Linked DNA regions of Arabidopsis thaliana. The protein of the gene in region 3 purifies or fractionates together with the protein of the main gene of each other region. This does not show direct contact. Each region holds a gene or a part of one and is shown on either strand. Other genes may lie near its edges. The genes, in order: AT4G15770, OLI2, YAO and AT4G17590.

Evidence for each region.
Region 1: the proteins of YAO (region 3) and AT4G15770 fractionate together in Arabidopsis thaliana (co-fractionation; one large-scale study listed by BioGRID). This does not show direct contact.
Region 2: the proteins of YAO (region 3) and OLI2 fractionate together in Arabidopsis thaliana (co-fractionation; one large-scale study listed by BioGRID). This does not show direct contact.
Region 4: the proteins of YAO (region 3) and AT4G17590 fractionate together in Arabidopsis thaliana (co-fractionation; one large-scale study listed by BioGRID). This does not show direct contact.

The regions. Positions count from the first base shown.
Region 1 is NC_003075.7:8,974,311-8,980,778, reverse strand, and holds AT4G15770 (RNA binding protein), read right to left. Parts: upstream 2,885-6,468; 5' UTR 2,720-2,884; coding exon 2,156-2,719; 3' UTR 1,835-2,155; downstream 1-1,834. Other genes in the region: AT4G15765 (FAD/NAD(P)-binding oxidoreductase family protein), read left to right, coding at 3,568-3,638, 3,741-3,806, 3,966-4,164, 4,418-4,646, 4,746-4,996; MO1 (monooxygenase 1), read left to right, coding at 6,231-6,376.
Region 2 is NC_003076.8:22,643,493-22,653,136, forward strand, and holds OLI2 (S-adenosyl-L-methionine-dependent methyltransferases superfamily protein), read right to left. Parts: upstream 6,026-9,644; 5' UTR 5,892-6,025; coding exon 5,295-5,891; intron 5,206-5,294; coding exon 5,142-5,205; intron 5,027-5,141; coding exon 4,893-5,026; intron 4,798-4,892; coding exon 4,714-4,797; intron 4,632-4,713; coding exon 4,557-4,631; intron 4,454-4,556; coding exon 4,382-4,453; intron 4,294-4,381; coding exon 4,220-4,293; intron 4,079-4,219; coding exon 4,026-4,078; intron 3,920-4,025; coding exon 3,810-3,919; intron 3,608-3,809; coding exon 3,539-3,607; intron 3,454-3,538; coding exon 3,379-3,453; intron 3,282-3,378; coding exon 3,189-3,281; intron 3,102-3,188; coding exon 3,022-3,101; intron 2,937-3,021; coding exon 2,837-2,936; intron 2,724-2,836; coding exon 2,404-2,723; intron 2,299-2,403; coding exon 2,250-2,298; 3' UTR 1,956-2,249; downstream 1-1,955. Other genes in the region: OPT1 (oligopeptide transporter 1), read left to right, coding at 9,496-9,562. UniProt on the Arabidopsis thaliana protein: Involved in ribosomal large subunit assembly, required for normal progression of rRNA processing. S-adenosyl-L-methionine-dependent methyltransferase that probably methylates the C(5) position of cytosine 2268 (m5C2268) in nuclear 25S rRNA.
Region 3 is NC_003075.7:2,740,914-2,747,400, reverse strand, and holds YAO (Transducin/WD40 repeat-like superfamily protein), read left to right. Parts: upstream 1-1,765; 5' UTR 1,766-1,879; coding exon 1,880-2,310; intron 2,311-2,519; coding exon 2,520-2,862; intron 2,863-2,954; coding exon 2,955-3,179; intron 3,180-3,276; coding exon 3,277-3,478; intron 3,479-3,620; coding exon 3,621-3,790; intron 3,791-3,914; coding exon 3,915-3,980; intron 3,981-4,094; coding exon 4,095-4,172; 3' UTR 4,173-4,469; downstream 4,470-6,487. Other genes in the region: DDB1A (damaged DNA binding protein 1A), read right to left, coding at 120-211, 299-358, 494-542, 1,010-1,113; AT4G05400 (copper ion binding protein), read right to left, coding at 5,393-6,145. UniProt on the Arabidopsis thaliana protein: Component of a nucleolar small nuclear ribonucleoprotein particle (snoRNP) thought to participate in the processing and modification of pre-ribosomal RNA. Essential for embryogenesis. Plays a critical role in embryo sac development and gametic cell fate.
Region 4 is NC_003075.7:9,798,358-9,805,416, reverse strand, and holds AT4G17590 (NOL1/NOP2/sun family protein), read left to right. Parts: upstream 1-2,825; coding exon 2,826-2,844; intron 2,845-2,929; coding exon 2,930-3,004; intron 3,005-3,114; coding exon 3,115-3,296; intron 3,297-3,379; coding exon 3,380-3,448; intron 3,449-3,525; coding exon 3,526-3,603; intron 3,604-4,306; coding exon 4,307-4,408; intron 4,409-4,493; coding exon 4,494-4,574; downstream 4,575-7,059. Other genes in the region: LIL3:1 (Chlorophyll A-B binding family protein), read right to left, coding at 703-959, 1,029-1,166, 1,265-1,658.

The DNA.
Region 1 (6,468 bases), 6.2 Mb from region 3:
AAAGCAAGTACAGCTATCGCCAAAAGTCTCAACAAGGAGTTCGGGTACTTAGAAAACATTTCAATATTTGAGGAAAATGTTCTATAATATATTGAATACAAGGTAATGGTAAAATTAAAATATTGCAGGCCGGTGATGAAGGAACACATGAATTATATTGTTGACCATGCAGAGGAGATTGAAAAACTAATAAAAGTCAAGGCTCAGGTTTCAGAAGTTAAAAGTATAATGTTGGAGAATATTGACAAGGTAATGCTCATCATTTGACTCTCTTATGTCTTTCTCCACACTTAAGACAAGCAACAAATCATTCTCCTTTGCTTTACCTTTTACAATGATAAGTCTGCAAAAATCACTGTGCTTTATACACCTCCAATATTGTTGATCCATTTTCAGGCAATCGACAGAGGGGAAAATCTAACAGTTCTTACTGACAAGACCGAGAATCTACGCTCTCAGGTAAAGGCAAACTTGACTCCAAACATTAAATTCATAGACTTTCTGTGATAGCCATTTTAATGTAAGGGTTAATTTGTATACTTTAAGGCGCGGGAATACAAGAAAACCAAGGGACACAGGTGAGGAGGAAATTGTGGTACCAGAACATGAAGATAAAACTGGTGGTTCTTGGGATCTTGCTACTACTTGTTCTCATAATCTGGATATCGGTTTGTCATGGATTTAATTGCACGGATTGAAGACACAACAAATTACTCTACGTGATGGTTAGAGACTTAGAGCTTTTGGCGGAGACAGGCGACAAACAGAGACAAAAGTCTTCAGTAGAGAGATTAGTAAAGAGAGAGAGAGGGGAACAAAATGGTACCATATGTATTGTAAGGTTTTGACTTTGGATGTTGTATTATTATATAAAGTATTTGTGTTCTTTCTTTGGGTGTACCATACTAATTCACATATTCTACGTAGCGTAATTAAAGGCGAGGATATCTTAAAACTTGCATAAAACACATGCTCAAGAGTCACTAGTCAAGGTACTCAAAACTAAAATCAGAATATGATCAAATTTGGATTAAAAAAACAAAAACAAAGCGCCCACCGTGGGGCTCGAACCCACGACCACAAGGTTAAGAGCCTTGCGCTCTACCAACTGAGCTAGACGGGCTTTGTGACTAATGATACCAGAAAAACTATATAACAGTAAATATTATTTCTAAACATTTTGCAACACAGCTTTGCATCCCAATTCCCAAGTGAGGAACAAACGTACAAAGGCCAAGACTTTGGGTTGAAGTTGAACTTTACAAGATTACGTTTGAAAAGATGATGAATATCAATCCCCTACTCTTAATGTGGGAAATTTTCAGTGTACAACATATTTATTCAAAGAACACCCTCAATATCTTTCCCAAAAAGTTATGCAATCTGTTTCAGAAAGATTTCAGAACTTAATTGGTTTAAACATCTCTTCTCCAGATTATTTGGCAGCAGTACACAACCTATATGCCCAGTAATAAGTTTTGAAGTTTTAAATCAAAGCAAGCAATCTGTTTCCATACAGAAAACTGATTCATCAGCTTACAATTGTAGCTTCTCGATACTCTTGTTTGAGAACAATTGAGACTTTCATAGATACAATACCATGTTCCACAAAATTTGTGACAGTCACATACCCTTAATACTCAAAGGCCAAAGTTTGAAGCTTGAAAACAATTTGAAGCTTTTGGACTATAAAACCAAAGAAAAATCAGCATAATCAATCTGTCTCAAAAATCAGCATAATCAATCTGTCTCAAAAATCAGCATAATCAATCTGTCTCCAACACATATCTGAATCATTAGGGTTACAGATTTGAAAATTAGCATATGTATGTAAATTTCCAAAGTTTCAAGCTTGATGAAGAATTTGAAGCTTTTAAGTATAAAAATCAAAGCAATATCAGGAAACTCAACCTGTCTCCAATACAAATCTTGATCATCAGGTTACAGATTTGAAAATTCGCATATGAATGTAAATTTTTTAGCTTTTACATACTCAAGAGTCTCACAAAACACCTCAAAAACAGATTTATAAAAATCGAGACTTTCATAGATCCAGAACCAAGTTCCACGAAACTTGTAACAGCTACATACTTTAAAACTCAAAGCAACAAGCAGAATCAAACTAAGACACAACAAAGACAAAACCTTTAAACTTTCAAAGGTCATCTTCACCCCTCAAATACTCTCCAATATCAGCCTGATGAAGCACAACAATACCATTAGGATCCAATTTCCTACAATCCTGTGTACTCTTCGCAGCAATCCCAAACCCTAACGGAACATCAGACATCGAGAACACAACAACACCATCTCCAGGAACAATACTATCAGTAATCCTCCCTAATCCACCTTTCAAGACATGGTTCCCATAAAGAAACGACATCTCCGAAGTGGGTTTAAGCCATACCTTGTGTTTAGCATTCGCCGCCAAGATATTGAGTGACATAATCGTCAGATGGAAACTACCGGCGTGAGTGTATTTCCCGATGCAGGTTCCGAAGGAGACTAGGTTTTTCCTGGAGATGTTTGTGGCTCGCTTCACGAGGGCTTCGCTGACGTAGTAGACTCTGTTTTTCTGGAGGCGGAAGCAGTAGCTGCCGGGTGTAGATTCGGGTCCTTCGTCTGATGGGTTCTCGACGATCTTCTTGAGGTTGTTGCCGACGAATTTGAAGAGCTTCTCGAAGACGACGGTTGTCTCGGTCTCGTCTAAAGGACGCATCTTCGGGGAAGAAAGTGATGAATAATGGAGAAAGAAGAGAAGCTCTCTGTTTCTAAGAGGGATTGTGTTTTTTTAGGGTTTTAGGGATTTAGGACCAAACCTAATGCGGCCGATGAGTTTTGTTATTTCGACTTTGGTCCTTTGTTTTAAAAATATCTATTGTCATTTCAACCTCGAAATTATTATTTTTGTTAAATCCAACCCATGAATAATTCACTTTGAATATTTGGACTTTGGAGGATAACTGAAAGTTATAACAAATTTGATAGTTCATGTAGTTTATTGAAAAGATGTTTAGTTAGAGATTTTTTCATGTGTAAAAATATTATAAGGAAATCATACAATGAATTACTAATATTATAAGGGCAATTGACAAAACAAAAATATATTATTTTAGAAAAAGGTATATATATTTCTAATATAAATAAATACAATTAATTACAAATATTGTATAACGTGTAAGAAAATAATTGTTTTAAATATATATATATACTTCTAAGATTAAGTAAATTATACATTTAATCACTAATACAGTAAAAATATTAAATAAATTATTAAAATTAGTAATTCTAACACAAGAAGGCTTAAATTTTTCTTTTCTTTTTTTTCTCTCTTCAGAATTGGTTTCATATAACGATCTGTGTGATACACAGTTTAATTGATATATGAATCGACAAATACCAATAAAAATCGCTGTGAATGAATATGTATAGATAACGAAAAATACGCGGGTCAAGGTACAACCACGACATGCCATATTGCCATGTGGCTTCAACCCCCACATATAAGTCCACGACATTGCAGGACATAACGATCATAAAATTTGGAGGAAATACAAATATAGAAGAATGGAAGAATTGGACATAGTAATCGTGGGAGGAGGCATTGCTGGTCTTGCAACTTCCCTTGCTCTTCACAGGTTCACTATAATCTCCTCATTTTCTCAATTATAAGGTAATTTAAATTAGAAAACATATACATGAACTATTGACTAACTAAACATACAAATATGATTATAAAGGAAGGGCATAAAGAGCGTTGTGTTGGAGAGATCAGAGTCTGTAAGATCGGAAGGAGCAGCATTTTGGTATTCAGACTAACGGCTGGCTTGCTCTTCAACAACTTGGTGTCGCCGATAAGCTAGCTTCGTCTTAAGTCTCTCCCAATTCATCAGTAAGTATATAAATATTTATATTTTAACTAACCTTATCTAGTTATAATGATTTCCGGTATGGTACTAAAACAGGATAAGAGATGTTTTGATCGAGAAAGGTATTAAACGAAGAGAATCGGTTGGACCAGCATCCTATGGAGAAGTAAGAGGTGTACTAAGGAACGACTTGGTTCGAGCTTTGGCTCATGCTCTTCCTCTTGGCACTCTCCGGCTTGGTTGCCATATTTTGTCGGTTAAGCTCGACGAAACAAAATCGTTTCCGATTGTGCACGTTAAAAACGGGAGAAGCTATCAAAGCAAAGGCACGTTTTAACAACAGTAGATATATTTATTGATCAATTATTGAGGTGATGCCGTAGTGGAATTTTTTTAGTATATACTTTATATTAGCCGACAGTGACATTTATGGGTCGTGATCGGTTTTAATGGTTTGTGTTTTGTTTGTTTTTCACTGAAAGCAACATGTTTAGCATGAAATGCATGGGTCTTATATATTTTGATAATATACTTTTCTTTTAATTTAGGTTTTGATTGGCTGCGATGGGTCAAATTCTGTAGTCTCTAGATTTCTAGGATTAAACCCGACTAAAGACCTCGGTTCGCGGGCCATCAGAGGGTTCACAAATTACCCGGACGACCATGGATTCCGACAAGAGTTTATAAGAATCAAGATGGACAACGTCGTAAGCGGACGACTTCCTATAACTCACAAACTCGTCTTTTGGTTTGTTGTTTTGCGAAATTGTCCCCAAGGTAATTAATAACCCGGTCATGCTACATTTCATACTATACATAGACTTCTATTGTTTTCATATAACGCACTAACGTATTTATAATTTGTTTTATAAATAGACTCAAACTTCTTAAAAAATCAAGAGGATATCGCAAGATTGGCACTAGCATCAGTCCGCGAATTCTCAGAAGAGTGGAAAGAGATGGTGAAGAATTGTGATATGGACTCTTTGTATATCAACCGTTTAAGGTACCGTGCTCCTTGGGATGTTCTGTCTGGAAAATTCCGACGTGGCACCGTGACAGTTGGCCGGAGACAGTATGCACCTAATGGGCCCATTCTTAGGACAAGGATGTTCGGCTGCGCTTGAGGACGGTGTTGTTTTGGCTAGATGCTTGTGGAGGAAGTTAAATTTAGGTCAAGACGGTATAATTAATGTATCTTCCTTCTCTTCAAGGATGCAAATAGAAGAAGCAATTGATGAGTACATTAGGGAAAGAAGAGGTAGACTCGTGGGGCTTTCGACACAAACTTATCTTACCGGTAGTTTAATAGCAGCTTCTTCGCCGGTTAGGAAGCTATTGCTTGTAGTTATGTTGATGATTCTGTTTCGTGATCAAATTGGTCATACTCGATATGATTGTGGCAGTCTATAAATTTATCTTATGTACGAACTGTCTAAATTGCGAGAGTTGTGTGCTTCGTGAGATGATTGTATCATGAGGTTGGTTACTCATTGTTCTTGCGAATGTTTCCTGTTTGTTCGCTTCTGATAATTTTTGTTCGATTATTAAAAGAACTATGATATTAGTCTTTCTCACTTGTGAGTTGTGAAAGACAAAAGAAGTCCAATCAAAAACTTATTTAAGAAAATTATGGGCGGTATCATCTGCAAAAAAATATTCTCAAAAACATTTTAATCCAATTAATAATTCTGGATTCAAGTTTTTTGGACCAAAAATAATCAATAATTATTCAAATACATTTTTCGTATATTTTGATGAAGGAAGAGAAGTCCATATCATTTGTGTTACAAAAACCCCACCCTAGTTGATAAAAGACTTAAAGTCTGCATTATAACATAAACAGAACCAAGAAAATGTAGAGAGAAATGTCAAATTATCCAGTAGCCCACTCAAAATGTAGAAGCTGAATCAATGGAGGTGATAGAAAACTTATCTAGAGAAAACCAGAATTGCAAAGGCTCAATTCGAAGATGTTTTTTTTGATGATCCCATCTTTATTCTTATATATATCAAAAGTTTAATAGTATAGAAGATCGATTTTTTTTTTGTCAGTTTAGATTTTTGATATACTAGGAAAAGCCAAAAAGATAAGTATTGAGTCACACTCATTACAACAAGTACACAAAATTGATATTGGATGGAACTAGTTGTTTTATCCAAAAGCCGAGTTAATGTAAGTGGCGTCATAGGCTTGCGTCAACAGGTCAAGTTACTTCATAAACAAAGAGCGCTTGTTTGACTCGCAAAGACCCACCACACTCACGTAAATTGATTGTCTCCCAAGTAATTTAATTGTCTTAATGAAAAGTCTTCGCTGTTCCTCTACTCTATATAAATAAATTAAAAACACTATACTACATGTTACCTATAGGACTACAGATATTAAAACAACTACCCAAACAAAACTTTAGATCTGAAAATCTCAGCTTTGAAATGGAGGAAATCGGAATAGTTATCGTCGGCGGCGGAATCGCTGGTCTCGCCACTTCCATTGCTCTTCATAGGTTTGTTATTAATTTATTTTGTAATGAGACTCAAACTTTATGAATTCCATATGTAAATTAATATTTGGTGTGTATATTTTTTTTTTAAAATG
Region 2 (9,644 bases), on a different chromosome or scaffold from region 3:
CCTAAAACTTTTCAGCAAATTCTTATTTATTGCCCAATAATAAGTTTCCTTAGATTCTAAGATTATATTTCATGTATTTTATTTTTTTTCCCCCACATTTAAATCGAACAGAAACAATGTTTTTTTAGAAATGGTTCAACAGGTAGTTGACAAACCAGAAGATTGTTCAACATAAAAGAACACAAGTGGGTATAATTTGTTCATTTCCTCATATCTCAAATAATTCATATTTTAACCTCATGCTCTTATTAGATCCAATTACTGCGTCAATTTTTAATCGAGAAGCTCAGATCCAATAACGACAATTGCTACACGATCGGCTTGTGACGTGAAACGCGAGTGGGGAATCTTTCTTCATTATAATCCCATTTCTTTAGGTTAAAAATACTGCAATAATAACAAAATAAAAGGTTTAGTTTATTAAAATGTTTTGTTTACCATGATACTTGAGGGATTAAGGTTTCTAAGTTTCTTCATTACAATTTAAATCATAGCTGGACACTGTCACTAAGGATGCTTTAACATTTAAATGGTAAGAATATCCATTTTTATACAAGTTTCTAGGTTTACTCTTAGATTTAGATCGAGTCCTCTCAAAGTCTTAATTATATTATTTTCTTAACAAATTCATAGAGATTCAATGGTTAAAAGATTTATCGTGAAAATTAAAGATTCGAGTGTTCCTACAATGAGATTAATCATTATTGGTGGTAGTTGTGAATGCTTTAAATAGCAAAAATACCTAGTTCTTTTATGTCCAAAAAAACTAGTTTTTTTTTTTTGGTAAGCTCCAAAAAAACTAGTTTAGAGTTTGGTTTAGATCTCTTTGTTGTAACTTATAAATATAATGATAGAGATTTCTATTTATTATCAATCAAAACAACTTCTACACGCAAATTCGTTTACCTAATATTTTTTAATATTTTAATGTTCTTTCCAGTTTTGTTTTTGTTTCACTAAAGTCAGCCAAAATAATTCAATTATGATGGGCATATTATAAAAAAAATTACAGTAATTTTGTTCTTTATTTCCAATAATATGTCATATACTGTACACTTGTTTTCAGTTAATTTCTGTTTGATTAGTTTATTATCCACTCTACTTTAGTACAACCCAAATGTCAGAACATAGTCCACATGATTTTGTTTGACGTAAAGTTATAAATAATAGTCCACCTGATTTATTTTATTATCTTCTTTTTGTTTATAAAATAACCATCTTTTTCCCTTACAAAAATGTTCTTTATAACAGCAGACAAAAAAAATGTTCTTTCGAATATAATAAAATCAGGAAGAAAGTAAACAAGAAAAATATATGAAATTATTCATACCATAATAATACAAAAATTGATTGATTGGAACATATAATCGACCAGTTAGATATCTTTAATGATTTTCGATTATTTGAAATACATATTTATAAAAAGAATGAATAATGCAAATAAAAAAAGAAAAAGGAAGAGTTAAGGATAAATAATCAAATTAAAATTGAGAGGTCCCCAAACAAGATCTGACAAAGATAGATGAAGAATGGGTTGTCATGTTCTCCAACACAAGTCCCACTTTGGTGTGAGAGTTTCTCAATCTCTCTCTCTAACTTCTTACAACCAATCAACAGCTCACTGCCAAATCCCTAATTTTTTTTAAAAAACAGTTCTCTGAAAAATAAGAAAAACTAAACTGAAACAATTCTGAGCCTTTCAATTTCATATATTTTGTTTGGTTTCATACAATTATGGTTTGATATAGTTTGGTTTGAGTCAATTCCAACATATGAAGTGATGAATTAACAAATTAATTAAAAAGTTGATAATTAATCATTTGAACTTAAAATTAACAAAATTTAGTATATTCATTTCGGTTTGTTCCAACTACATTTAGGTTAAAAAATGTTGGGTTTTTCGAAATAAAAAATATTTAGGTTAGTAGTTATAGTTTTTTTTTTGGCCACCCCTAGTTTGGTTCTTGAGTAAAAATAACAGCAATTTAGTGATCGGCTCAAGAACACAACTTAACTTTGATTCTCTTAAAAGATTTTTTTCTGAAACAAAACTTTTGGACATTTAAGGTGGTCTGCCCACGGAGTCCAACAGAGTGCTCACTCTGGGTGCTTTTAACGTTGCACAAATCTCGTCGTGAATAAACAAAAACAAGAAAGCCAATATATGGCACAAGCCTACTATAACCATAGATGATAACGTTTTCGCAAATGTTTTTTCTTCTCTTTGATGAAAAAACACTGAATCATCATTACTTCTCCTCCTTCGCCTTCTCCCGCATGGCTATTCTTTTCTCTTCCCTGCAAACGTGATTATACAAATCATTGTCAAGCAACTATATATAAAAGACAAGTCTAAAGCATTTTGTTCTCTCAGTTCATGGATGGGGATAGATATTTATATACCTAGCTTGAGCTATTTCGTTCTTCCATTCCCGTCTCTTCTTCTTTTGCTTCCTTGGTTTAGATGGCTCTTCCACATTTTCAGATTTTGATTTCTTATCCTTTTTACCTCTCTTGTCCTCCTTTGATTTTGCAAGTTTTTCCTTGTTCTTTTTTTCTTTTCTTTCCTTAGGTTGCCTAACGGGAACAGAAGGCTTCTCCGTCTCTTCAATGGCCTCAGCTTCATCATCATCATCACTAGACACTTCAGCTTGCTCTACAGTTTCTACCGCATCATCATCACCTTCTTCTGAAGATTGCTTCACGTTGCTCATTTTCTTCAGCTGTATAAAGAAAAAGAACACAAGAGCATTACATCAAATTGTGTGGATTATATCAACTATTAGAGTATTGACAAGTGCATGGTTGATCGATTACAATGGCCAAAAGTGAGTACCTTTGCCACAAAAAATCCGTCCATGTTGTGTACATGAGGATAGAAACGTCTAGTCTTGTCCAAAGATGGCTGAAACCGGTGTTCTCTAAATCTGGTAAATCTGATGAAGAGAAGAAGGACAAAGAGTTAGAGACATTATTTAATGTTCCTTTAAATATCCCTCAGATGAAAAACTTGTGCATTACCCTTTTCTGCCAAAATCGAGACCACACGTAACGAGTTTAACATCCCTCTTTTTGAGGGCATAGTCAATGACGGCTTCATTCTGCACAATTTTTTCATACATAAAGAAAAATTAGGATGAATCAAATACAAAGAAGAAAATTATGGGGGAAATTATCAGTTAACTAACCTCAGTAACCATAATTGAACATGTTGAATAAACTATATATCCACCGGTTTTGGAATTGGCATCCACCATATCAATAGCAGCGAGTAGAAGTTGCTTCATGAACAAAAAAGGGTTAACTTAGCATGTGTTTAAGAATGAAAATTGGTCTGTTCAGATATAATAGAAGTTATTTAAGAAGGTACTGCCATACCTTTTGCAAGTGAGCAAATTTCTTTATCTCATCCATGGTTTTCGTTATTTTAACTGATTCATCTTTTGATATAATCTGTATTGGGTAGCAGAGGAGATTTAGTAACAAGGATCTAAAACTTAACTACAGTTTAACAGAGAGTAAGTTCGAAGTTCCTTACTCCAGTCCCACTGCAAGGCGCATCCAACAATACTCTATCAACCGTGTTCTGACCTAAAACCTTGGGTAGCTGACAGCAGCAAAGATAACGAAATAAAGAATAAGTGCAAGAAAATAAAACTGGGCAGCATGTTGAGCAAAATTAACCAGATCAAATTTTATAATTCCAGTCATTTCAGTAGTGTGAATTCAAGTAGATGTTACGGGGTTTTTAACATTTTGTGAACAGGTAGCAGAAATTCAACAGAAAAATCAATGTTCAAGAAGCTAACCTCTCTTCCATCATAGTTACAAACTATGGTATTTGTGACCCCCATACGATGCAGATTGGCAGTTAGCGACTTAAGCCTAGGTACTTTCATCTCATTCGCATATATTAAGCCTGGTAATAGCATCATTATAAACATTACTTAAACCAAAAAAAAAAAACATACGACAGCCAAATAGAATATGGGGATAAGAAGCAAGAGAAACCAATGAAGACATACCCGTATTTTTCATTAGAGCGGCGATATAAGTTGTTTTACCACCAGGAGCAGCACTGCATCGATATAAAATCTTGTTATAAACTCACACAACAAAACAGTCAAACACTAGAATTGGAATCATCACACGCCAACAAGGTCAAACGCTTTTTAGCTGCAGCGATTGTTTAGTAGATGAGTAGATGATGATAACTTACGCTACATCCACAATCCGCTCATTCTCTCGAGGGGCAAGGGCCATCACTGGCAAAAACGAACTAGCACCTTGAAGCTGCAAATACACCAAGTAGAGAGACTTAAGCAAACAATTGCATTCCATAAAGGTGAAGAAAAGGGAAAGACATCAGAAGATCACTTACCATGTAGTACCCAGCCAGATATTCAGGAGTTGCACCAATTGGGACTTGTGAATCATAAATAACAAGTCCAACCTGCAGTAGGACATCAGTAAATAAGACTTAGGACAGATCAACAATAGAAGATTCATAAAAATAGGACTGACAGAATAGAAAATAGTAAGAACAAACTACTTACTTTAGACCACTTGCTTAATGGGTCTAGATTGACTCCTCTGTTCAAAAGTACATCAGCAAGATCCCGTCTTCGAGTCTAAAGCAAAACATACATCACCATGAAATTGCAGAACTTGAAAGTCATAAGCTACAACCCAGTAAGTCACAACCAAGTTCACCTTAAGTGTGTTAGTTCGGATGGACGTAGGCCTTTGCTTTTCAAAAGCTTCAATAAGTTCCATAAGTTCACCAGGAGGAAACATCTGCAAGAGAAATCCCAATTCAACATCCATAAGTAAAGAATATCAGCAACATCCTATCCATACTATATCAAAGGAAAGAAACTAGAGAGTCTCACCTCAACCAAAGTTCCAATAAGAAAACTGTTATAACCATAATAAGAACCGAGATCAGCTTTGAGCTGTTCAACACAAGCTTTCCTCGTGGTGTCTTTTGGCCTGAAAGCCTTAAAATTTTTAAGAGCTCTAACAACTGAAATGTTAAATGAATCAACAATTAGAACACCAATCCAAACCAACCTAGATAAATACCATCACACCAACATTTCAACAGTAATAAAGCAACAAAATTTGGAAATGTTACTAACTCTCTTCAATTCTAGTCTTAAGTAGAGGAAGATCTGGTGGACCACGAGCTTCTTCTTCAAGCTCCTGGACAAATGAAAGATAACAACAACAGTTAGATATATGCTAAAACCAAAATCAAACAGAGTAAGTATTACACATGAAAAAAATGTTACCTCTTCAGTTGGTAGCCTAAACGCATCATGTTCAGGTTCTTCATCATGTACATCATCTTGCTTGATAAAATCCTCCAGTTCAGCAGCAGCATCTTTCTTCTGCATTGCTAAGTCTCTATCAATAGCATCAGATTTCGCCACAATATCGTCGTCGTCAGAGTCAGCATCCGAATCCGCATCTAAAGATCCTTCCTCATCTTCATCGCCGCTACCTTCTAGAAAATCGTCACCCAAAGTCTCTTCATCGTTCTCTTCCTCATCATCAGAGAATAACTGATTAGACCCGTTCTCTCCATCATCAGATTCATCAATCTCTTCTGATTCCACAGCTGGAGAAATATCATCTTCATCAGAACCATCGGAAACTTCGTCATCTTCATCAGAATCATCGGTAACTTCGTAATCTTCTAGAGGCTCTTCCTCCACAACTTCCTTCTTCTGCTTCTTCAATGGAGGTTTGTTCTGAGATTTCGCTCCTTTCTTCAACATTGAAGTTTGGGGTTTCATTGGAGGGGTTTTGGATTTGGTAAGCTGCTTCGTTGGAGGGGTTATCGATTTCGTCGCAGCCTTCTTCTTGTTACGAGTGAGGGCAGGCATGGCTACAGGTTTGAATTAGGGTTTTCTCGCGCGGCCAGGGTTTAAGAGAAGAAGTAGAAGATGATGATTGTTGGAGTACACAAAGGTATATTTGACTGGTGTCTATTATTGGGCTTTTGCCTAAATAATTATCGGCCCAATTTAAAACAAATTGAGCCCAATAACTATATGGTGCCTTGTTATTGATTATTCGATATGTTTATTCATACGCACACAACTTTCAAACTAGTGTGAACACGCAATATACTTTAAAATTTTGTTCCACAACCAAAAACAAATATGTCTCGATCAATAAACAAGACAACGAAACGGTGTCAACTTCGACACGAATCGAAACAACACGATCATCGATCTTGTTGGTACAAGCGTGCTCTTGAACTTGTGAAATAAAAACAACCAAATTTTTGTTTTTCCAAAACAAACAAAAACATTTGGAACAAAACATTAACACGGTTAAAATTCTCTCTACAAAAAAAACTTGTAAACTTTCACAAACTCTTGTTTTTCTACTTTTAGTTCTCTTTTATCTTTAGCGTTGTGACAAAATGTAGTTCCGAGATTTGAGGCATTAATTAAGAAGTTGAAAAGCATATTGGCGAAGTTGACAAAGATGGTTGACCACGTTTTTCCACTAATAGTAGAATAATTGGTTGGGTGGAAATTGGATTTTCAGTGGTCCAATTCTCAAACTTGTTCATCGTCTTTTTCTAACAAGTTGATGCTAGCTATTGTCATCTTTTCTTTTGGGACCGAGAGAGAAAGAAAACTAAAAAATCTTGAGAACTTGCTCATAATCTGTTAATGGTTTTGTCAATTTCGCTCCCATCAGTCAACGGAAGTTATAATCAATTTGTCAAAATCTCTATGACACGAAAGCACCTTATCTTGTACTAGCATTGTGTGAAATGGGTCGAGAATATATATTGTCATTATTCATTAGTCTTCTGTCTTGTGCGTACAAACTGAGTTGATATCGGCTCTATCTAATCACTAAGCAATCATAATAGATCAGTAACGTATCTAATGATTCTGAGGATAAACTAGTTGCTAAATTAGATTATTACTATTATCAGTTTTATGTATATTTACCAATAAAAAGATTCACTGTTTTATGTAAAAATAATCTTACGAGAACGAGTTAACGTTTAACCCATTCGTTGAATACATGCGTGCATGTAGAACACTCAAACTAAAAATTGGTTATGTCATATGTGTCTTGACCGATGAGATATATACGACTATATAGGGGGATTGGACTACAATCATTTAAGTTGATTTCTTTTCTATTATATATAGTGACACATTACATGTGACGATATGATGTATATAATAAAGATATTTATTTGTCCGCAAACGCATGATATCAAATGTAATATACATATCAATAACGCGTTTATATTAATCTCTAATACGTACAACATATTACAATCTCTACAAATATCGACATGCTTAAAACCAATAACGCGTTCAGTAGAACAATTTAATGCACGTTCACCAACCATTTTAACATCTTATGTTATTTACACTCGCGTAGTTCATAACATTTGGTTATTACTTATTAGTATATGGACCGGCCCTGCCGATTCAGACCTAATGCGACGATGTTTGAGACATCTTAACAATATGACTATGCTATGATGTTTGATCACCACCTCTATTATATAATGTAGCAAGATGATCAATTATTTGAATACAGTTTTAATTTGTTTGAGGACATACCTAAAATGCTCATATTTTTCTCATTGAAATTACCTTTGAGTCGGTGTTATTCATAAAAAAAGAAGACCATTTATTAGCTACATCATTTTCACATGACGGCTAGAAAAGTCTCATTCAAGAATCTGGTTGTGAAAAGCTAATAAATATATTAGGCCTATCGAGCCAAAAGTTGTTACACATGATTTCAAACATCAAATAAGTCATCGGAGTCAATATTAAAAAGTTCTACGTACATTAAATTCATAAGTTTTGGCAGTTAGAGACATGTCAAGTTGACAAGTTTCATCAGAACATGATCTTTTAGTCTTAGAGATAATTATGTAATTAATATGGCAATAGAGCTAGCTGGCAATAGATCTTAATTATCTAATTAAAGATGAATCACAGTCAAAATCGTTAGAGCTGGCAATAGAAACGTAAAAATGAACCTAGACGACAGTGCAATATCTAACCATGCATGGACTTTTAATTTACAAAAATAGAATATAGAATCAAAACGCAACGATTTAGGAATCTATTTATAGAAATAAAGAATCTGTAATAACTGCGATGGATATCCAAATTTTTTTATTTTTGTTCTTCTCGTCCTATAAATATGCCATCTTCTTGGAGTATTTCTTTACAACATTCTCTAAGCTTGTAATCGCGATTTAAGGCTTGTCCACCACATTACCACGAGTAGAATTGACCAAGTAAGTTTCCAACAAAACTTAAAACCTTTTCTTTGTTTTACGACAAATTCTTGTTATTGTGGTCCATAGGTTGTTTCTCACTTTCTTGCAAGTGATTTTTCATGATTTTTAAGATTTACGATTCATTAAATTACTTTACTAAAACTCAGATCGAATTGAGTTCTTCCATCTGGACTATCTTATATAATTAGTTAGGACTTTCTAATCCATTTTTAATTCAATTTTGTTGTATTTTAAAAGTCGGTCTACAAAATATTGTTTAAACTTAATAGCATGATACAGTACTTCAATATGGTGATGAATTGGCAACGAAAAATTTAAGTTGAATATGGAATACGCAGATAATTGAACAAGAAAGCCACTAAACCTAAATGCTGGTTTTAGTAAGTAGATAGATAACCTTTTTATTCTACTTGTTAGTTTATTTTTAACGAAATCTGAATTGTTGAAATATAGCTGAACCAATGACCCAATTCAGTCTTCAAATATCACTAGCAAACGTAATTGACATGACCATGGCATGTTTCAAGCATATTAGATTTCGATACGTCTTAACTTCTTAATTATCGGGACCAGCTACATACATTTTTAGTATATGTCATCATTATCTTTACTTCTTTTTTGTATCATCACAATTATTTCCATTTTATTTTTTTGTTCTTCTTCATGTGCAAAAGAAGAGGTACTTTGATAAGATTCCAGTCTATAGGATTCAATTAAGATACTAATTAAATACAGTATATACAGAATCTTGAGTTGTCCGCTTTCAAGATTCCAATACAGTTTACAAAATTCTGAATTAGTTATTCTTGTTGAGTCAATACTTTTGAAAGAATGTTGACCAAAAAAAAAAAAACCAAAGAAAACGGATCCTTATTTAACGGTCTCCTTAACCTTAATAATAGTAAAACGGTAAAAACCAAAATTCATGTGGTGTAAATTGTCTAAAGTCTGTATTTTTTTTTATTGACATCCATTTTTTTTGTGTCGAAAGTCTATATATGAAGTCAAATTCATGAACAAATGCTTCTAGGCTAAAAACGTTATCGTAATCTTTAATCTTCAGGCTTCTTTTCTAAAATTCCGACTGGTTACCGAGGGCTAGAAAATCCGGTCACCGTCGCCGGAGACAACCTCGGTTTCTAAACGAAACCATCGTGAAGGACGGAAAAAAGGAGCTTGAAGACAAAACAATGACGAGCGTTTTCGACGAACATAAACCCTCCGATGACTCTCACGAGTCCAAGATCGTCATCAATGGTAATGTATCTCTATGTTCCTTCGGTTTATTTCGGTTTATCCCGGTTTTGTTTCGATTCTTTAAATCTTCTAGTCGTTTATG
Region 3 (6,487 bases):
TAACAAAAAAATGATAAGATAACGGCGAACATGATCATGAACTAAAAGAAAAATAGCACAACTGGTTGGTTAACATCAACTGGATGCATGGAAAAAAATTTATCTTTTGGAAGCTATACCTTGTAATAAGCTCAGAGGACTCAGGATCCCATTGAAGAACACAGAATTTGTATCTCTCAGTTGCAATGAACAAAAAGTCTTGCGCTTCGCCCTACAAAAGACGGTGGACAATACTATCAACATTTTAACTCATTATTAAGACCATGACAAAAGAACACAATAAGAGATATATACTCACATGGGGTCGGAACAACTCCAGAGTAGCGATTCTTCCATATATAGGAACGTCCAACATAGGCTGCAATATAGGAACATCCAGCAGATTCTTATATTACTAACAAAACAAAGCATGACAACAAAGTTTTTGAACTTTATACTCTAATGTACATGGAACTTAATCCATATAAGCTTGACAGAATAGAGATGTATGTACCTGAAGTCCTTGTGGGGTAAGCAAATGGATCTCGATTCGAGTACATTTCCTGAGAACAGATCAACACTGCTGTCAAACTAATCTACTAATGGATCTGATAGATGTTACAATTTAAGGGGACAATGCTAAATCGGATAAATGAGATAACTTTCAAACAAATTTACAGTACTGATAGCTAACGATAATTGAAAATCCTCCATATCAAAAAAGGCACGATCTTCAAATGTAATTTAGTTCAGGAAGTAAAAGCCATACCAAAAAAAACACAATTCTTTGTCACAGTTTCAAAAAATCCACCTCATCAAAGAACCCAGAGGCATTAAAATCCTTATAGTCATCTCCCAAACTGAAATTGAACTACAATTTTGTTTGCAAAGTGGGTAAATTTATGAAAATTAACTCGTGATGGGAAATTCATTGAAAACCCTAAACCCAAATCAACAGCTGCAATTCAAAAGGGGACTAATTGACAAACAAAAATTGATAACAAATAGAGGTAGGGGGAGAGTTTCGTACGCGACAATGAGATTGAGCTCTTGAGGACTTGTGAAGTTGCCAACGCACGAGTGAGTGACACTGGTCGGTTTGTGAGCCGTAACAACGTAGTTCCATGAGCTCATCTTCCTCTTCTTTGTCTCCAGGGAATTTGAGTTCGACTTTCTACGCGAGGGCCCTCGAGGAAGCTTCTAGATTTCTGAATCGAGCTTTCGGAATTTTAACATAGAGAAGTTAGAGAGAGAATGAAAAGCCAAAGGAGGCGAAAATCGAACAAGGAAGAAGAAAGACAACTTTCGACAAAGACTGGTCGGTCGGTTTTGGTAGACAATTGAAATTAGATGGATGGTCCGGTTCGGTATACTATAAGATTAAAAACAGTTTTAAATTCAGCTAAACCGAACTCATTTGATTTTATTAAACCGGAATCATCCGATTCGAGTTTGTAAAAAATACCGAAATTGAAAACACTAAACAAAAACTGTATTAAACTGTTACTGAAATAAGAGAATCTCCCAATTCGGTTTACGTACTACTCTTCAGAAATCAGAACCAAAAATTCAGAAATCGGATTGAACCAAACTTAAATTGACGGTCCGGTTAGTCTTCGGCTCTACAAATTAAAGGCCCAAGTTTCTGCTTTAAAAGAACGAAATAGTTAATGGGCTCAAACCATAGACCAGGTAAGTCATGGGCTTGGTTAGTCCGGGTCAACCCGGTAGACCCGATTCCTGAAGAAAACCTAGTGGAAGGTTTAAAGTTGTAAACTTTCCGACCAAATAAACAAAATCGTTTTCCAGCTTCTTCCGTCGCCACTAAACCCTGAGGCTAAACCTAGACGAGTCAAAGTGTAAAATCGTTAAACCCTAAGAGGGAGTGAGAGAGAGAAGAATGAAGTACAACAACGAGAAGAAGAAAGGAGGAAGCTTTAAGAGAGGAGGTAAAAAGGGTTCGAATGAAAGGGATCCATTTTTTGAGGAAGAGCCGAAGAAACGGAGAAAAGTCAGTTACGATGACGACGATATCGAGTCTGTGGACTCTGATGCGGAAGAGAACGGATTTACTGGCGGAGATGAAGATGGGAGAAGAGTTGATGGGGAAGTGGAGGATGAAGATGAGTTTGCTGATGAGACGGCGGGAGAGAAGCGGAAGAGATTGGCGGAGGAGATGCTGAATAGAAGGAGGGAAGCGATGAGGAGAGAGCGTGAGGAAGCGGATAATGATGATGATGATGATGAAGATGACGATGAGACTATTAAGAAGAGTTTGATGCAGAAGCAGCAGGAGGATAGTGGTAGGATTCGAAGACTTATTGCATCGAGGTAAGGAAGAAATTTAGTACCTCAATGTATTCAAATTAGATAGTTTAGGTTTGAGATTGTTGGTAATTTAGGGTTTGTGGGTAGTTAGTGTTTTAGGGAGCTGGTTTAATTGTGAAGAAACTTAGTGATTTTGTACATTTCTTAGGTCAATTTGATATCTTTGAAGATTGGTTGATAGTAGTATTGATTAAAGTTTTTCAATGATTCAGGGTTCAGGAGCCACTAAGTACTGATGGGTTTAGTGTTATTGTCAAGCACCGACGATCTGTTGTGTCGGTAGCTTTATCGGATGACGATTCTAGAGGATTTTCAGCTTCAAAAGATGGTACTATTATGCATTGGGATGTATCTTCTGGTAAAACTGACAAATACATATGGCCAAGTGATGAAATTCTCAAGTCGCATGGGATGAAATTGAGGGAGCCTCGTAACAAAAATCACAGTAGAGAATCTCTTGCTTTAGCTGTTAGCTCTGATGGTCGTTATTTGGCCACTGGAGGAGTTGACCGTCATGTTCATATTTGGGATGTTCGTACCCGAGAGCATGTCCAGGTAATGATAATAAATTTGGTTTTTGTTTAGTGTTTTTTTTATTTGTTCTTCATCAAGTCTTGCGCTCAGGTATTACAATTATGTGTCTACAGGCCTTTCCAGGTCACCGGAACACAGTTTCTTGTCTATGTTTCAGATACGGAACTTCAGAACTCTATTCTGGTTCATTTGATAGAACTGTGAAGGTGTGGAACGTAGAAGATAAAGCATTTATAACTGAAAATCATGGACACCAGGGTGAAATTCTAGCCATTGATGCACTGAGGAAGGAGCGTGCACTTACGGTTGGAAGAGATAGAACCATGCTGTATCATAAGGTAATAGTTCTATCCTCCATGTAAACACTGTTGGAAGATATCATCATAAGGTTTCTATTATTATTCTGTATTTGTAAGTCTTGTTATATGATTATAGGTGCCTGAGAGCACCCGTATGATCTATCGAGCTCCTGCATCGTCTCTTGAGAGCTGCTGTTTCATCAGTGATAATGAGTACCTGTCTGGTTCGGATAATGGAACTGTTGCTCTTTGGGGCATGTTAAAAAAGAAACCGGTGTTCGTTTTCAAGAATGCACATCAAGATATACCTGATGGGATTACCACCAATGGAATCTTAGGTGAAACCTAATTTAGATCCTCCCCATTTCATCTCTGTTGCAGTTGGATCTTGACATTGCAGTATATAGTTATAAAACACTTTTGTTTCGTTGCAGCTACTGATGCTCTGAAATATCTAATTCTTATTTATTTGCTTAACAGAAAACGGTGATCATGAACCAGTCAACAATAACTGTTCAGCAAATTCTTGGGTCAATGCAGTTGCTACTAGTAGAGGCAGTGATCTTGCTGCATCTGGAGCTGGTAATGGTTTTGTGCGTTTGTGGGCTGTTGAAACTAATGCAATTCGACCTTTGTACGAGCTTCCACTGGTAAATTTTCGTTCACTAGTTATATTCCTTAGTGTTGTCTGATGAATCTGTTGTTTGTGACTGTGATTAATGCATTTCACTTCACCAAGTAATAATCCTTGCAATGCCTTGTTTGATCTTACAGACTGGATTTGTCAACTCTTTGGCTTTTGCAAAATCGGGTAAATTTCTGATTGCCGGTGTTGGACAGGTATGTGATCATCTCTTATGTTCTCTTCCCTCTTCTTTTTTTCTATCTTTGTCCTCTTGTCTGTGTGATTGCTAATCTCAAAACTGATCGTGTTTTGTGAAATCGACATGGCAGGAAACTCGATTTGGAAGATGGGGATGCTTAAAATCTGCGCAAAATGGTGTCGCAATACATCCCTTAAGACTGGCATAAGTATTTCATTGGGATAAATGAAGCGTTGTTATGGATAGTTTTGAGTTGCTAAAAAGCCAAAGATCTAATCGCAAGTCATATAGGGATTACATTTCCTTGTAGCTCTTGAAGTTTTTGCTCCCTTTTTTGTTTGTTCCTTGTACCATTTTTTCTTAATACGAGAGATAAGAACTTATCATTTTGAGGCTCTGAAGAATCAAAGAGGATAACAGTTCCCAATTTTTTCATTCTCTCAGTAAAGCTTTTTGTTTCGTTTTCCCAAATGTTGAAGATAAGTATATGAAAAGGCAAATTATTAAACCAAGATCCATAGTGAACACAGACTTGATCGTAATTTATCCGGCGAAAAGAAGATTGCTTTTCCAAACAAAAAAGACAAGAGCCTACTACTTGAATGAATTCTCTTAAGTCAAGCTTAGAATCCCTAGAGACAATTTCTTGATGTCTCTTGGTCTCGTTGCTGCTCCATTCTGACTAATAGCTTCAACTGGATAAGAAAAACCAGCAGAGAATTGATAAGAAAGTTCCAAATATCCAAAACATACATAGAATACCACAAAATGAAGACTTGAAACAAGAAAAATGCAAACAGCATTGAAAGAATAACTAAACAAGAACATATCCTGCAAAAAAAACGAAAATGATACATAATAATCCAAAGACTCGAGCCTATATGCAGAGAAGTTCCAGAGGAAGGTCATGCTTCCAAAAGTTTCCATTTTAACATTGCAAACACTAACTCATGTACAAGTGAGTGATTCTCATTCACTTATTTGCTAATATGCATATAACTCGATCTCAAACTAACCAATAAGTATCATACTACCTGAAATCTAGCTAACCATCAGTTTTGAGATATTTTCTACAACAAAGTAAACCCAAGAACACAGCTTTGACATCAGAGATCAATACTACCAACCATCAATCCTAAACCCTGAATCATTCCATTGTTCGAAAAACAAACTGTTAAATCTCATATCCAAATCAGAAACAAGAGAAAACGATAAGCATAAGACAAAAATCTCTAACCTTTATTGACTCATCTCAACTTCTCTTTATTTCAGACACTTTCTACAACAAAGTAAACCCAAGACTCAGTAAACTACTAACCATCATTCTTAAATCCTGAATCATTCCATTGTTCGAAACACAAGCATTCAAAGCTCATCTCCAAAGCAAAAGCAAGAGATAAGACAAAATCTCTAACCTTTTAAACGAAATCATCTCAACTTCTCTTTACTTGAACTCTTCTTAGCTGCATCCATAACCTTCTCAAGATACCCTTCAATAGGCGGTGTAAGAGTAGCCATACCTCGATTCGCCGGAAACGGTGTCAAATCAGGCTCTAACGCCGCCTTCTTCAGATTCTCCGGCAATGCCTCAATAGCAGATTTCTTCAAATTCAAAAGCGCAGTTTCAGCTGCACGACGCTCTCTATGCTCTCTCATCAACACTTTACTATACTCCTTCGCAAGTCTCTCTCCATCTTCTTCCGTAAGCTTATACTTAGGCAATTCCTCAGCTTCAAAAATCCCTAACGAAATGTAATCCAAACCTGGCGTCCCAATTCGCATCGGCTCATCGGTGACTCCCATTGAAGCAGCTCCTCCTTTCTTCTGGATCTCCATATCTCGTTGCTTCTCTTTACTAATCAAACCTAGCTTCTCACGTTGCGCCTCACGCTCGATCTCTTGGGGGGTCAAGTAGCGAACAGGACAAGGAGCGTTTAAGCATTGCTCGTAGAGTTTCTGCTTCTCATCGGAAATTCTACCTTTTCCTTTAACTGCTTCCTCTCCTTCAACAGGTGCTCCGCCGCCGCCACCACCTTTCTTGATGGAGAGTTTGTTACGCTTCAATGGCTGACCTGTCTTCAGCTTTGCTTTTCCTTTAGGAGTTCCACTTGCGGAGCATCTTTGGATAAGATGGTAACTCAGTGATTCGATGATCGCTTTTGGTTTCGTAACTCGAATCATGCTTCTGATTCACCTGAGTTTCTGATTGCTTTCGTCTGAAAATGTTGCTTGAGTACAGAGATTAGGGTTTTCGACTCTCGACTGTGGAAGAAGAACACTGAACTAACGACGTCGTTTTACATCAAGTTAAATAAATCACGATGTCACAAAACTGTAAATTCAGCTTAAACCGAGGGTTTTCTTGTCTTTTAGAAAACTCCAATTTGGTTTCTTGGTTCGGTTTTCCATTTCTTTGTATACCGAATGAGAACCGACGTTAATTTTGAATTGATTTGGTTCAATTCGATTTAATTTTTGGTTATTGTTTCGGCTTACCACCACATAACCGAAGCTTCTTTCTGA
Region 4 (7,059 bases), 7.1 Mb from region 3:
ACAATTAATAAGTTGCACATACAATCAAAAACCTAACCCTGGAAAGGGAAATATATCAAATAGGAGAACTATAAGCAGAGTAATCAAAGCCTGGTCTTGACATAAATTTCCAAATCGCGAAACATCATTGTATGTTCCAAATATGTACATGGTGCAACCGATCAGCTAGTTCCTTTGCTTTCGTAATCTCTTTCTTCATCTTTTCTCTCCTCTGTTTCCTCATCTCCATGACTTGCTTAAGCAGCTCTCTCCCTTCTTTAGTGTTTAGTATTTGAGCTCTGGTGCGTTTATATATGTTCCGGATAAGCTCAGGTTTACCTCTCACAAAGTCACCATCAGCAAATTCCCTTTGCTCAGAGTCAAGTTTCCTAAACCCGTATCGGTCAAGCAACCTGGTAAACAATGAGAAATTGTGGCCAGAGCCAATATCGTGGTAGCCAAAGCCAAAGATTCTTGGTAAAACATTTATCTCACTTACGAGCTGTTGTCGATGTGGGATAAATATAACTAACGAAAATAAACTTGGAAAATTGGGCTTCTTATTGGGCCTTTTTTGTTTTCTAATTAGATTAAGTTAAGTAGAGACTAGACATGATTAACGGTAATCTGAGGAAACATTGTTCAAATCTCTTGATATTACATTTGGTAAGTTCATCTCCTAATTACAACAACAACAAAAAAAGAAAGCAAGAATCTTTGTTATCACTTCTTCTTAGAACCCAATGACTCATCATCATCATTTTTCCAAGCTGCTTGCCATTGCTTATCATACAATGTAGTCTCATCAAACAAGTTCTTGAGTTTATCCACATCCTCATTCTTACGAATAAACAAAACTCCAGCCACAGCCACAAACAATAGTGTCTTGCAGAAGAAATTCCCCATTTGATCAACAAGTCCTACTCCGGTAAGACTATCGACAAAGTAAGCCATAAAGAATCCTATCATCGCCGCACGACCTACAAAGAGTAAGAGTAAGTAACATTCTTTGTGTATGTGTTTGATCTTTTGAGAGAGGAAACAAATACCATTTAAGAGTTCAGCTTCAGGTAAGTGGTATCTCTTAATCCAAGCCCACCATGGAATAATCGATGTATCGAAAAGCACTGGTTCGTCGTTACTCGTTGTTTCTGGATTCTCTTCTAGCCATTTTCTTCTCTTTGCCTCTTCAAATCAAAACACATTAAACATCAAATTCAAATTTCGAATTTTCACCAAAGTAACAGAGCAAAAAAACTTAACGAGGATCTAATTCTAATCTAACCAGCAACGATTACAGAATCCCAATCGGTTTTTCCATCTTTCTCGAACTGTTTCAGATCCCAAGTTCCATTAATCCATCTCGCATCCTGGAATTTGACAACACTCTCCGTTGTTTTCATCTCTTCACCTTCGACGGCGACATTTTTAGCGGTGGCGGTTTCTTCCTTTTTAACCGCCGGTGTTGATTGCGGAGGCTCTTTAACTATCACTTCCACGGGCTCAGGAGCCTCCACGGAGACGGCGGCGGTGGGAGAGGTTGATCCACTGTCGGAGGAAGCTCGAGTGACGGAGAGGAGAGAGAAGCGGTTACTGGAGAGGAGGGAGAATGAAAATTTGGGAATGAAATTGGGATTTTGAAGAGATGAAGAAGAGATTGGCGGGGAGAACAACGCCATTGTTGTGGTTTCTTCTTTACTTCAGAGTTTCACAAATCACAACTAGTGGTTCTAAATAGACTTGTTATCGTTTAAAGATGTAACATGTATGTCGTTTCTTTCTCCCAAATTGAGACTACGTAACGTGTTTTTTTTCCCTCTACACATACAGAAACAAAAAAGTGACTGTTATCTTCATGGGCTCGTATTAAAAGCCCATCCCAGTATTTTGGTGTTGTTATGAGGGTATCAAACAAAGAAAGTCAACACATTTACCTGATTAATCAAGCAAAGTTTTTATTATTATTTTGTATTCAACTAAGCAATGTACCTTACAATATTTTCCATTTTACAAACAATTTAAGGTTTAACTTTTTAAAAGGAAAAATTGTACTAAACTAAATTCATTAATAATATATTTAATTAAAATTTTAATTAATTTTTTTTTCTGCAAACTGAATTATATTAACCAATTGAGATTTTACAAAGTAGTTTTTGTAACCAAGGTGGTTGACGACCTGATTAAGAATAAAAATCTCCATGAATACAATTAGAGGTTGAGAGGTAATGAGCTATACTATTATTTACACGCTTTGTGAAGCCAAAGAAGATTGAAGAAATTTTTAATTAATTTAAAATTTTGAATCCCATAAAGTATGGTGAAAAGAAAGCTCAACAAAAATAAATTTGTAAAGAAAACATAATATTTCTTTTAAAACATAAAAAGCCTAAAAAATGAATTCTAAAATATGTTTTTTACCTTGATGCCCTAAGCCATGACTTCACTTGATTGTGTGGAATGTCGGGCTTGATTTATTATACATAAATGCATTGTATTTGTTATAATGCAACACGATGACCAAAGGATATATGAAGTTGATTTTCAAGTATGATTTGTATCATGTGTTATGATGAAAAGTGCTATTATATATTAGACTCTAAACTTAGTACTTGTTAAGACAATCTTAGTGAATTCCGGATTATAAATGTAGATTTGTCACAACCGGTTGTTACAATAGCATCTTATACAACTTAATTGTACGAGATAAGCTCACTTTCAGTTCTTTACCAATCTTGAATATGAGTGTCGGATAATCAAGGCGTCGCATAATCAAGGCATTTTGAATATGACTCTGGAGAACTCTTTAAACTAATCAAGGCGTTTGAGGAGCCGATGCCGACATATATATGGACGAACACTCTAAAGGTAAATTTGGTTATCCATTGTTCAATTGTTTAGTAAAGTTTTGAGATTATGCATTTTTATGATGAGTTTTGTTTTTTTGCTTAAGACTCGGAGAATATATCTTTCTCAACAGCTTTTGGACCGAGGATTTCACGTATGCCTGCTACAGAACTGGTCAACGGTAAGTATGCAAATTTTCTTCCTCTAGATTCACAACAAGTATTATGTTGTTCATACATACATGTACTTGATTCTTTCAAAACTGCTTGTAGCATGGACTTGTCATTGAAGATGAACCTGAAAGTCTTCCCATTGGGGAAACTCCTGAACATCTGTCTGGGCGCTTTATGGTAATAAAAGGTATAATATTTGCTAATGCGTCTACTGAACACTTGCTTGGTTCACTTTATGCCAATCTCCATCGAATGGGGATTACAAATACAGTTGTTTCCAATTACAATATCAATACAAAGGTTAGCTTCTTGAACCTCACTATTGATGATATTAAGGGTAATAAAAGTTCTGAAATAATTTTCTATTATTCCTTCCCGTTCAGCTATCTAGGGTTTTCCATATAAACTCAAAGGATATGGTGTTGGTGAATGCGCCTTCAACTAGAACTGGAGTAAAAATTCAACTCGTCTGTCATGTTTTAACTGAATTGTCAGGTTTTAACTCAAATGCTAACTTCTATCTATGCAGCTAATATCAGAATTTGGATCGATCAAAATGTCCATTAACGAAGAAGCTGACATACAACGCTTTGGTGTTTTGCAAAAGGTAAAACTTGCTTGGCTTTAACAATTAATGAGAGGTTATGTTTTTAACCATAATTATCTCATTTGACAGCAAAGCCAACAGATTTATCTGATTAATTAAGCAAACTTTTTTTTTAAAATTTTGTAATCCAAATCTAAGCAATGTACACCTTAGAATATCTTCCATTTTGCAAGAAATTTAAGGTTTAACTTTTTAAAAAAAACCAAAAATTTACTAAACTAAATTCATTAACAAATTATTTAATTAATTTTTTTATTAATCTAAAATTTTAAATACCACAATATATGGAGAAAATAAAGATTAACAAAATGAATTTATAAAAAAGACCTATAATATTTTTCTTAAAAAATAAAAGCCTAAAAATAAATTCTAAAGTATGCCTTTTTATTTTGATGCCTAAGCATAAAATGCATTGTATTTGTTATAATATAACATGATGACCAAAGGGTACATCAAGTTGATATTCAAGTATGATTTGTATCATGTGTTATGATGAAAAATGCTATTATATTAGACTCTAAACTTAGTACTTGTTAATCTTAGTGAATTTCGGATTAAAAAATGTAGATTTGTCACAATCGGTTATTATAATAGCATCTTATACAACTTAATTGTACGAGATACGCTCACATCAACTTCTTTACCAATCTTGAATATGAGTGTCTTTACCAATCTTGAATATGAGTGTCGGATATAATTATAGATAGTAGAAGGCGTTCACATGTCTGATTATGTTGACCAGCTTAAAGATGATATTGCTTCTCTTTATGGGTACAATAGGTTTCTTATTAGAACTTTGGCGGCAGTGATTTTCTCTGACTTTATTCTCCATGACATTCCTATCTCTGTTGCTAATTACTCATTTATCATCAACTGAAATTTCTTGTCAGACGTTTAGTCTTGCAGAACTCGTTAAACTAATAAAGGCGTTTGAAAAGCTGAGGTCTACATATATACGAAGAATACTTTAAAGGTAAACTTGGTTATCCATTGTTCAAGTGTTTAGGAAATTTATTAGGTTATGCATTGTTATGATGAGTCTTATTTTCTTTAAGACTCGCAAAATGTATCTTGCTCAACAACTTTTGGACTGAGGATTGGACCGAAGATTTCAGGTATTCCTGCCACAAAACTGGTCAACGGTAAGTATGCATATTTTCTTCCTCTAGATTCACAATAAGTATTATTTTATGAATGTATACATGTAGTTGATTTTTTCACAACTGGTTGTAGCAAGGACTTGTCAATGAAGGTGGACTTTAAAGTCTTCCCATCCTCTTTAATATATGGGTAGCTCTTTAAATTTAAAAGGTTTTTTTTGATGCATTTGTAGATTCAAAACCTTGGTTCCTTGTTCGATGTAATGACATTAGATGCACAGAATAATGAAACGATTGTAGACATGCAAAAGCCATTATTTTTTTCTTTATCATATTTTTATTGTACCTGATGGTATGCCTTGTTTATAAGTTTATTTGCTCCATATTTTTAATTTGTACTGATGATTTAATTTAAAACAGGTATAATCTCTGCTAATGCGTTTAGGGAAGACATGCTTGGTTGACTTTATGCCAATCTCCATCGATTTAACGGCTTTGATATTTTTTTCGGCTAAAAAACTCACCACATTATAGCCGTAAGGCCGTAACCAAACCTAAATTGTGTGTTCCTTTTATAACCACGCTTTTGCACTTAGTTATAGACTTATAGTATTAATTAAACTAAGTTATAGGATCATTTATACATTTTAACCCACTATAATTGAAGCATTAATTGCTAGCCCGTTAGAAACTAGTAGTAGAAACAAATTTGAAGCTATTAAAAGGATCAAGGCCGTGACAAAACGACGTTACTTAATAGTATACGTGTGCGTATAAAAATAACAAAACATCATCAAGCAAAATCCTGCATAAAAAATACCAAAACAAAATAGCCTCTTCCCCTCCTCCTAAAAGACGTTTCAGCTTTCAGCCCTAGCTAGACACACATGAATCAGGCCGACCATTCTTCTTCTCCTACTCTTCAATTTATAGGTTTTTGAAATTGTGGTACGACTCATGTTGTTTTGCTCAAGTCGAGGAGTCTCTCCATTTTAAAGGTATTGTGTGGTTAAGGAGATGCATCGAGTCACTGGCTGATCAACAAGGTCTTCGACAAAAATCTAAACACAAGAATACAGCATAGGTGAGTGCATCTTGAGGTAAGCAAGAAATAAGAAAGGGTTATCTTTTTGAAGGGAGTGTTCGGACTTTAGGGCCTCTTCATATTTTTTCCTGGAATTGAAACACTAGAAAAGGATCAACTGAAAAGCAAGGTAAAATGTCGGTGTGCTTTGCCCAACGATGACCTCGATATCCAAGCAAGATCACGAAGAAGCCAGCCCAAATGAAACAAAAATAGCAAGGTGAGCAGCAGGTCGAATGTATCCTCAATATTGCCTTTTTGGATGAGCGACCAATGGAATGGTGATGTGCTTTTGTCGAAAGGGAGGGTTGTAGGCTTTGGAGAATAGGAGAACGGGCCTAGCACAAACGCGCCAAAGATTACATGGACCGTGCGAATACTCTCACCCAAGTAGCATTTGTTTCCATTGGAGCCATATGAATCCGGTGCATATAGAGAGATCCTGAAAGTACCGTTTTGATGGACTTGTGAGACGACCAGTTTCTCTTTTTTTTTTTTAAATGCATTGAGCATAAAGCCATCAACGACGATTATTTGTAGTATGAATGATTTGGAGCACAAGAGAGGTTGGAAAAGGTTATTGTTTCATCAGCATATCAAAATATTGGTATCAAACCATACAAGAAAACATGTTGTAATAAGTAGTGAACTAGATTATGCAATGAGTTTTGGTTTTTGATTTTTGAGCCCAAAACAAAATGACTAGCTTTAGAATTAGGCACAGGTACACAATTGATTTAGGGATTCGTTTCACACTTTATTTTGCATCTTTTGGACTTTGTAATTTGTATTACTACGAGTTCTTTCTTGTGTGTATACATTATGATAATATGATGATCATCCTTTTTGGTTTAAACATGAATCCACCCTGTTTTGTTTTTCTTTGTATTGGTAAGTTCAATTTCCTTCAATATCTTTTTCCTGCTACGTGTGGGGATCTCACATGAGCCACATGGACAACACACGAGAAATCTGAAATCTTAAAAAACAACAACACGGGAACAGTTGTTCTGTTGCATAGAAAAGAGGGATTGTGACACGTTTAGGCACTTTTTGATAATATTATTCCTTTTGAGACACTTATAAGGGAGTGGACACTTTACCATCTTTTTGAGAGAAAATTGGACCAATTTACCCCTGAAATAGTGATGACGCAATAATTTTAAACTCATTATTGTTGAGATCGTGTGGATGAAAAATTATCCTCTTTTTATCATCTTTCTCTTCCATATTCTTTTGTTTTTCATTATTTTCAATTCTCTCTTTCAAAAT